2 linked regions of the Danio rerio genome follow. The protein of the gene in region 2 purifies or fractionates together with the protein of the main gene of each other region. This does not show direct contact. Links are inferred from orthologs where the notes say so. Each region holds a gene or a part of one and is shown on either strand. Other genes may lie near its edges.

Region 1 (3,828 bases), on a different chromosome or scaffold from region 2:
CGTCATCTGTCCACAAAAATACCTCTCTTGCTTTCTTTGCCATCGCGTTTAATGTTCAACCGGCGTTTGTTAACCAAATAACCAAATGCCAAGTGAGACGCATGCTTTCTGTTTACACCAGAATGCGCATGCCCTGAGTGTGCGAATGGTCACGTGATATACGATTTTGGTGGCGTAGTGTGGACGGAGATATGTTCGGAGACACAAGGTGATACGCTAGTGTGGACACGGATCGTTTTCGATCTAAAACGCACTAGTGTAAACGGGGCGTAGTTATGCAATCAAAAGTGAGCAGATGTTTTTAGTCAGTTTTAATTATTTGATAAGTGAATCTAAAATGTACATTAGGTTGCATGAAAGAACCCCAAAAGCTCTACTGAAAAACCCAAATAGGAAAAACAAATGATTATTACCTATATCTGGGTTGAAGATCTCCTCTACAACCAGTTGAAAGAATTCTTTGGATACTCCTCCCTCATCTACACCTTGCTCACCCTCAAACTCCACATACAGTTGTTTCTTCAGGTCTGCTGGGTTTTCCATGGCAATCATCTCCAACTACAACCAATTACATGTTTATTTTATATAAATTATTCACTTCTTTGAAACCGCATTCATCATCTGAGCTTTTTGGCACTTACCCTGACAAGAGCATCGTCTATGATGTGGTCTCTGCGCACTTTGAGACGCAGATAAGGGTTTAGTTGCTGTCCTTGCACCAAACTATAGAGGGCAGTAATCCTGCGCTCGCTATACATGCGGATCCGGTTGTCATAGTACAGGCCCAGATTCTTAGTCACAGCGTTAAGTATGAAAGGGCAGGTCATAAAGGAGAACTTGCTCTCTGTCTCCACCTTGAAGAAGGTATAGTCTTTGTCCATTTCCAGCACCTCATTGAGTGGTTCATTGATGAACTCCTCGAATGGGATGAGGGGTTTTCGACAGTCCGAGGCACGGATGCCCATTTCTGTCTCTAGCGGATCCACTCGAGGGCCTTTTTTATTGCGTCTCTCCTCTCCCAGCAGCTCCTGCAGCGTCAGCTCGCTGGACTCAGGGATCGGTTCATCGTCGTCCTCCTCATTGTGATCCGTGTCTAGGTCGCCGCCCAGCACGTTTGCATAGTAGACGATTTTCAAGCACTTGGTGGCTGCCACCACACCATCATCCTCATTGACTAGGTTATCACTGCTGAACTCGTTGCTGATGACCGTGTAGGTAATAAGCTGCTGGAAAGTCTCGACCAAACGTCGGATCTGGTCCACACCGTACTGCGACCACAACCGTGCAAGCTTGGCCAGAGCCGGAAGAGGTAGCTTGCTCATGGCCTTGCAGAACTGTGGCAAGGCGATTTCTAAGTATTCGGGACTGTGGAGGTTACTGTTCTCCATCACAATGATGAAGACGTTCAGGTAATTAGGGTCAGCGGCGTACACATTGTGATAGGTGAGGTCACACTCTACGTTGGGCGACAAGTAGACTAACGCGTTGAGGAAAGCTGCCTCAATCTTCTCATTCGATAATAATCTGTCGTACACTCTTCTTACAGCATCAATGTCTACAGAAACTTCTACAGGACTCAACTTTTGGACGTTGTTCTCCCCATGAGATGACCCGTCTCCACTTGATGCTGAAGCTTCTGGTTCCACCTCCATTGCTGTGGATGAACCAGAAGCCGTTTCTTTCTCATCTTCATCTTTGTCTTCATCCTTGGCCTGAAGGGACTTGAGCTCTTCCTTGGTGTGTTGTTTTGCTTTGCGGAAACTCTGGACTAGACTCTCTGCACTTGAGAAAACCCGACCAATAACACGGATTAGAGGAGAATAGTCCTCTGTCTCACTGCAGATGCTCAGGATTTCATACACCTTATCCTCAGTCAAGAAATTCAGATCTGCCAAATAAAAAAAAAACATAGTAAAACACTTGAAAGTCAAAGACACAGTTAAAAGACCAATGCAGTCAAACAGAATCCATCCTGCTATAAAGAATGTAAGTATTTTAAGTATTAAGTGTGTGCTTAAGAAATAATGTTGAGCATCTTTGTCCATCTATTAAAAATATACTTGAAATATTACTTACAATTGTAAAGCAATTTTTTCTCTTTAGCAAATTTAATAAAGTTAGGCCCAGAACTGGCCTGGTAAAAGGTTGCACAAACAAAGACATTGGATATCAATTTCAAAATTAATCAGACTGACTGTTGAATCATTTTAGCTGTTTTTATTTGTCATTTTTTCCATTTACAATACCATTATTTACAATATCATGTTATTCTATTCACATTTTATAGCAGACGTTTAGCACATTTTGTCACAAATATGACATTCTGCACTGATTTGGGTCAGAGCTGGGGAAAAACCAAGGACAAGCATAGACAGGCTACAGACTACCATCTCTCAAAGCAAGGTTGCCCAAACTTGATCCTAAAGAGCCACTGTTTAGCTGCTACTCTAATAAACACACCTAACCAGCTAATCATGGTCTTCAGACTAACTAGAAACTTCCAGTGCAGAAACTACTGTGTTGGAGCTAGGGCTGCACGATTAATCGAAAAAGGATTGTGATCTCGATTCTACCTTACACACGATCTTAATTAAGCATCACAAGGATTCAGCCAATTATATTTTGAAGGTCAGGAGAGAAGCGTAAAGACAGGAGCACAAGTCTTCACATTGTTTTAGATACATTGCTCAGGAACATGAACACCTTCAGATGTGAACCTCCATGGTCTCATGGTTCAGTAATAATTATCATGCCATCGATTCAGTTAAATTCGATATCATGCCATCAGTTCAGTTCAATCGCATCGACTATGTTTTCCATAAACAATTTAAATTTTCTGCACAGCACAGCAATTCTTGTATTAAAATGTACAAATATGTTTATAATTATATCATATTTGTAGTACAATTTTGTCCTTTAATACAAACAGTCAGATTTATAAACTGTACCTTTAAAAACTCAAGTATGCACAGAACGTCATGAGCATTTATAGCAAATAAACAAATATAAATATCCTGCTCGCTTTCTGAGCTCGCTAGGAGTTCTTTCTTGCACCCCTATGACTGGTCACGCACTTAATAGAAAGGGCTGCGATTGGCTCTAATGGTCTGGCGCTGTTCACAGATGAATAACACTGATAAACGGCAGCAGCGATCACAACTGATCTATGATAGATGCAGTGAAGAAAACTCACTCTGCACAAAAGCTTATGTTTGTATCCAGAAGTATCGCTGTTACAGCCAAGAGGAAAGGGAACTACCTCATGACAGCAGGTTAAAGGTCCACAGCGAGAGAAAGAGAATGTGTTTCCCTTCAGTTTCTCCATAACAGTGAAACGGGTCTCTGCTGTAAGTGTCAGTGAAAGACTGTCCAGTAAACACGCATGCAGAGAATTGTGCACAGTTTCTTTGTTTTTAAGTAGTTGGAGCGTTTTAAATACTCGCACTTGCCTCCCTCACCATAGTAAGCTACCGCTACATAGCAGGGTCTCAAAGCATATGAGATAAATGACGTCAGTACACAATAACTGGTTATGATTACTACAGAACCAATACCAAATTGAATGCATCTGCATCGTGGTGCACCGAAGAAACAATTAATTTTGACACCCCTACTTGTAGTTGACTTTTTAGCAAGTCGCTCCTCATATAGCAGCCTGTGGTGCTTTTTTAGGTTCTGGTTTTTGTATTTCATCGTTCTGTAACATCTCTTACAAATTACCTGGTTTTGTTTGGTGTCTGTGACTTTGAAACTAAGATATTCCCATATTACCACTGTACTGTTTTTCTTTGATATTAATTTGTCTATTACTGCTTCTGAAGTTGCAGT
Region 2 (3,828 bases):
ATACAAAAACAAAAGTTGAATAAACAGAGCTTTTCTGGGGAGCCAAAACGTAAAACCGAAGTGTGAGGAGTCTGTTGCACCTCTAATAATTAGTCGATTTACAGCTGGAACGGAATATATGACCACAGACTGGAAATACAAGACTGATCGGCTGACAGAAACACGTCTTACCAAAATCAGCAGACAGCAGTTTCATGGAGAAGAGTTTGACAGGTTGATTGAAGGCCATTGTGATCAGAAGCTGAAAGTAAAACACAGATTCATCAACACTGCAGATCCAGTTTATACAGCACATGAGATCTGATCTTAAATAAACACACATTACGGTTTTACTTTCTGTTTAAAACAGGGGTCTCAAACTCGCGGCCCGCAGGCCATTTGCGGCCCTCAGTGCAATATTTTGTGGCCCACGCCGACCGCTGTACACTGACAGAATCAGATTCTATCCGTACACAGCGGTCACTGGCATTCCCCGCCCGCCGTGTAAACAAAGGGGCGGGGATGTCGGTGACGTCACCACGCACCCCGCCCCTTTGTTAGACGCTGTGACGGGCGGGAAGTGTTAGGAGGGAACTCGCGCCGGCCAGAACCAAGCTGTTCCCGCCCCTGCCTGCCACTTAGCTACCTAACTGCAGCCTGCCACCTACCGAGCTACAGCCTGCATCTTATATATATTATAGGTAGATACAGACTGGTACAGACTGATGTGACTGGAGTGGGGTGGGGGTGTTTTATTTATACATATATACGCCTTTTTTTAGGTGAGGGAATGGAAGTTTTGAGTGAGTTCCCCCACTTTTTTCCCTAGGACTTCAATAAGTCAAAGTACAGGTCTAGACTTAATGATGATCATCTTCAATCCATACTGAGGGTCTCAACTGCGTCCGCTCTAAAGCCAAATGTGGTTCAGATTTGTGAGAAGAAGCGCTGTCAAGTCTCTGGCAGCAAGAAGTAGGCAAAAGATGCCATGTTCAGAAGAACTGTTCATAATCTTCACTCAATGTTCTGTTAATGTTCAGGACACTTCATGTTCAGAAGAAATAATTAAAACTGTTAATAATGACATTTGAGGACTTTTTTTTTGTGAAATCCCTTATGCGGCCCAGCCTCACCCAGACTTTGCCTCCTGCGCCCCCCAGGTAAATTGAGTTTGAGACCCCTGTAATAGTGTATATGCAGAAGGACTTTAATGTTCAGTAACCCAGCTCAAGCGCTTCTGGTGAACTGTATGCTCTTAAAAAAACGATCACCACATTTAAGACCTGATTTTCCGGACTGACATAGGATATAAAGTTGCTTTCAGAATGTACAAGGAGCACTGCATTACATTACACTGATCAGTGCCGTGTCTTTAAAATATGGATGTTTACTTTACCACAGTATATTCAATGGAGTTTCTGTGCTTGCCTGCTGATCCTGACGGCGCTTGTGTTCACACGATCTTTCATCTCGTTTTACTCTTGAACAGCTAAATGAATGCTGAAGTCTATTCAACTGATTATTATTAAATTACATTACAACACTGATGCTTTAAAAAGAACCTTATGAAACTGAAAATAGTCGCATTAATCTTTCACTGGAAGTTTATCGGTAGGGGAAAACACCAGCAGTAAATATATACCCTATAGATATGTGGGTTTCAAATGACAAAAATAAGTTGAAGTGTTAAAGTCACAGAGTCAGCAGAGTTTAGTTTCACCTGTTCATCACAGTCTGACTCCAGGTAAGTGGAGTCTTTGATTAAGCAGCTGTCGAATCCACAGTCGTCGCTCTCATTCAGACACTCACAACCTGCTTTATTCACGAACGGCATCAGATCCATCTGAGAAACACACAACATCAACACAACATCACACACATAGTCACGTTGATCAGCTGGTTTGTCTAGAATCTGACATATGAGCGATCCGCTGATGAATCGCAGCTTTAAAACGCTCCAGTGTGCCGGTATCTGTGGTTACACTCAGTAAACCGTGGTGAGTTCAGTAAACTGATGACCTTCACGGCCAATCACAGTCATTTCTGTTGAGCACATGAACACAATGGCCAATCAGCAGTGTTTAAGGACATGATCAACAGCGCTCAAATGTTTAATTTCAGTATTAATTGGTACCGAATTCCAGTATTGTGACAACCCTAAACTGTAGAATTACATATAATGACAAAATAATGTTTGGAAGAGTAAATCTATATTTCAAACTGACATCCTACAGAAAAATATAGAAATAATCCCCTTTACCCCTTCATTTTTTTTGGAAATACTGGTGGCCTTTTGCACAGTACTGTATATTATATGGATTAAAGACACTTATGAGAGATTATTTATTTATTTTTTAGATATTTATATATATTTTTATTTTCTAAAACCTTTGAAGAGCTCTCTTACTCTCTCATACACACTATATACACACTATAAAACATATAAAAGACAGAAACTATGCTTTTTTTGCACCGCAACTGATGATCAACAGTACAAATGAATGCATGATTATATGCTGTCATGGCTTTGCAATCAATAAATGTGATCATAATAAAAGTTGATGGGGTAAAAACAGCCCCAAACATAACCAAAGGGTGGAAGATGTGCAGAGTGTATTGTTTTTTCAAAATATGTTTTAAAATAAGGTTTTTCCGCAAAAACAAATAATCCATTTGCTGAAACACAGAGGAAATTGTGACCAAATTAATATTAAAAAACAGCCCAGAGTGGATGAAAACGACCCAACGGCACACTACAGGGTTACACTCATGAATTTCAGGGAGTTTCATTAAATGTGCAGGATTGGTTGGCTGAAACTCACGTATCCTTTAGGAATATCGGAGTCTTCGTTGCTGCCTGGATCGTTCTCCACGTGCTGTTTGATTTTCTCCTCTAGTCCGGAAGCGTCTGCGCCCTGATACTGGTCCACACGCACTTTATTTCGGAAAAACAGGAACGTCGGTGTTGCTGAGATATTATTGGCGGCAGCTGTTGCCTAGGAGACGAGAAAAAAGCCACACAGACATACATTTAGTTAACACTACCAGTGTTATTCTAGCATCACTGAGATACTTTTATAGTTTTTATACTTTTATATATATATATATATATATATATATATATTTTTTTTTTTTTTTTTGCTGACATACACTACCTGACAAAAGTCTTAGTAAGTATTAACTTAAGTAATAACTTAAAATCTGATCATGTCTTGATGTTGACTGATTTGATGAGGACAGTAAGCTCTGACTCTGCTCAGACTAAAGTGTCATCACTGAACAAAAATAATGTCCAGTATAGAATATAAAGTCCTGCTGCAGTGGAGACAGAATGAATATTGTGTCTGACTCCATCATGAGCTTGGAGGACTGCATCCATACATCTCTGACATGACTCACATCACTGATTAATAAAGTCATCTGGAATGAAGAAGAAAGCGTTCAGCAGGACTCCCAGAGCTCAACAAGAGTCTTTGTGCTCATCTTCAACCCCTTCTCCTTCATCAGATCAATAATGTTCATGTCTGGTGACTGGGCTGGCCAATCCTGGAGCAGCTTGCTCCTGCTGGAGAATTGTCCCTCTCCTGTGGTTTGTAATGTAATGGGCAGCACAGATGTCTTGATACCTCAGGCTGTTGATGTTGCAGATCTCTCGCACGCCCCCATACTGAATGAACCCCAAACCATGATTTCTCCTTCACCAAACTTGACTGATTTTTGTGAGAATATTACTCCATGCTGGTTCCAGCAGGTCTTCTGCAGTATTGGTGATGATTGATGCAGATCAACAGATGATCCAGCAGAGAAATCCACCTTCTGACACTTTAAATGATCAACTAGAAGTCGAGT

Evidence for each region.
Region 1: the proteins of txnl1 (region 2) and ube3a purify together in Homo sapiens (affinity purification with mass spectrometry; 3 studies listed by BioGRID and IntAct, with this or other methods). This does not show direct contact. The link is inferred for Danio rerio from reciprocal best matches to the Homo sapiens genes TXNL1 and UBE3A.

The regions. Positions count from the first base shown.
Region 1 is NC_133181.1:41,328,792-41,332,619, reverse strand, and holds part of ube3a (ubiquitin-protein ligase E3A), read right to left. Parts: intron 1,889-3,828; coding exon 642-1,888; intron 559-641; coding exon 414-558; intron 1-413. UniProt on the Homo sapiens protein: E3 ubiquitin-protein ligase which accepts ubiquitin from an E2 ubiquitin-conjugating enzyme in the form of a thioester and transfers it to its substrates.
Region 2 is NC_133196.1:1,369,267-1,373,094, reverse strand, and holds part of txnl1 (thioredoxin-like protein 1), read right to left. Parts: intron 2,976-3,828; coding exon 2,802-2,975; intron 1,823-2,801; coding exon 1,700-1,822; intron 242-1,699; coding exon 172-241; intron 1-171. UniProt on the Homo sapiens protein: Active thioredoxin with a redox potential of about -250 mV.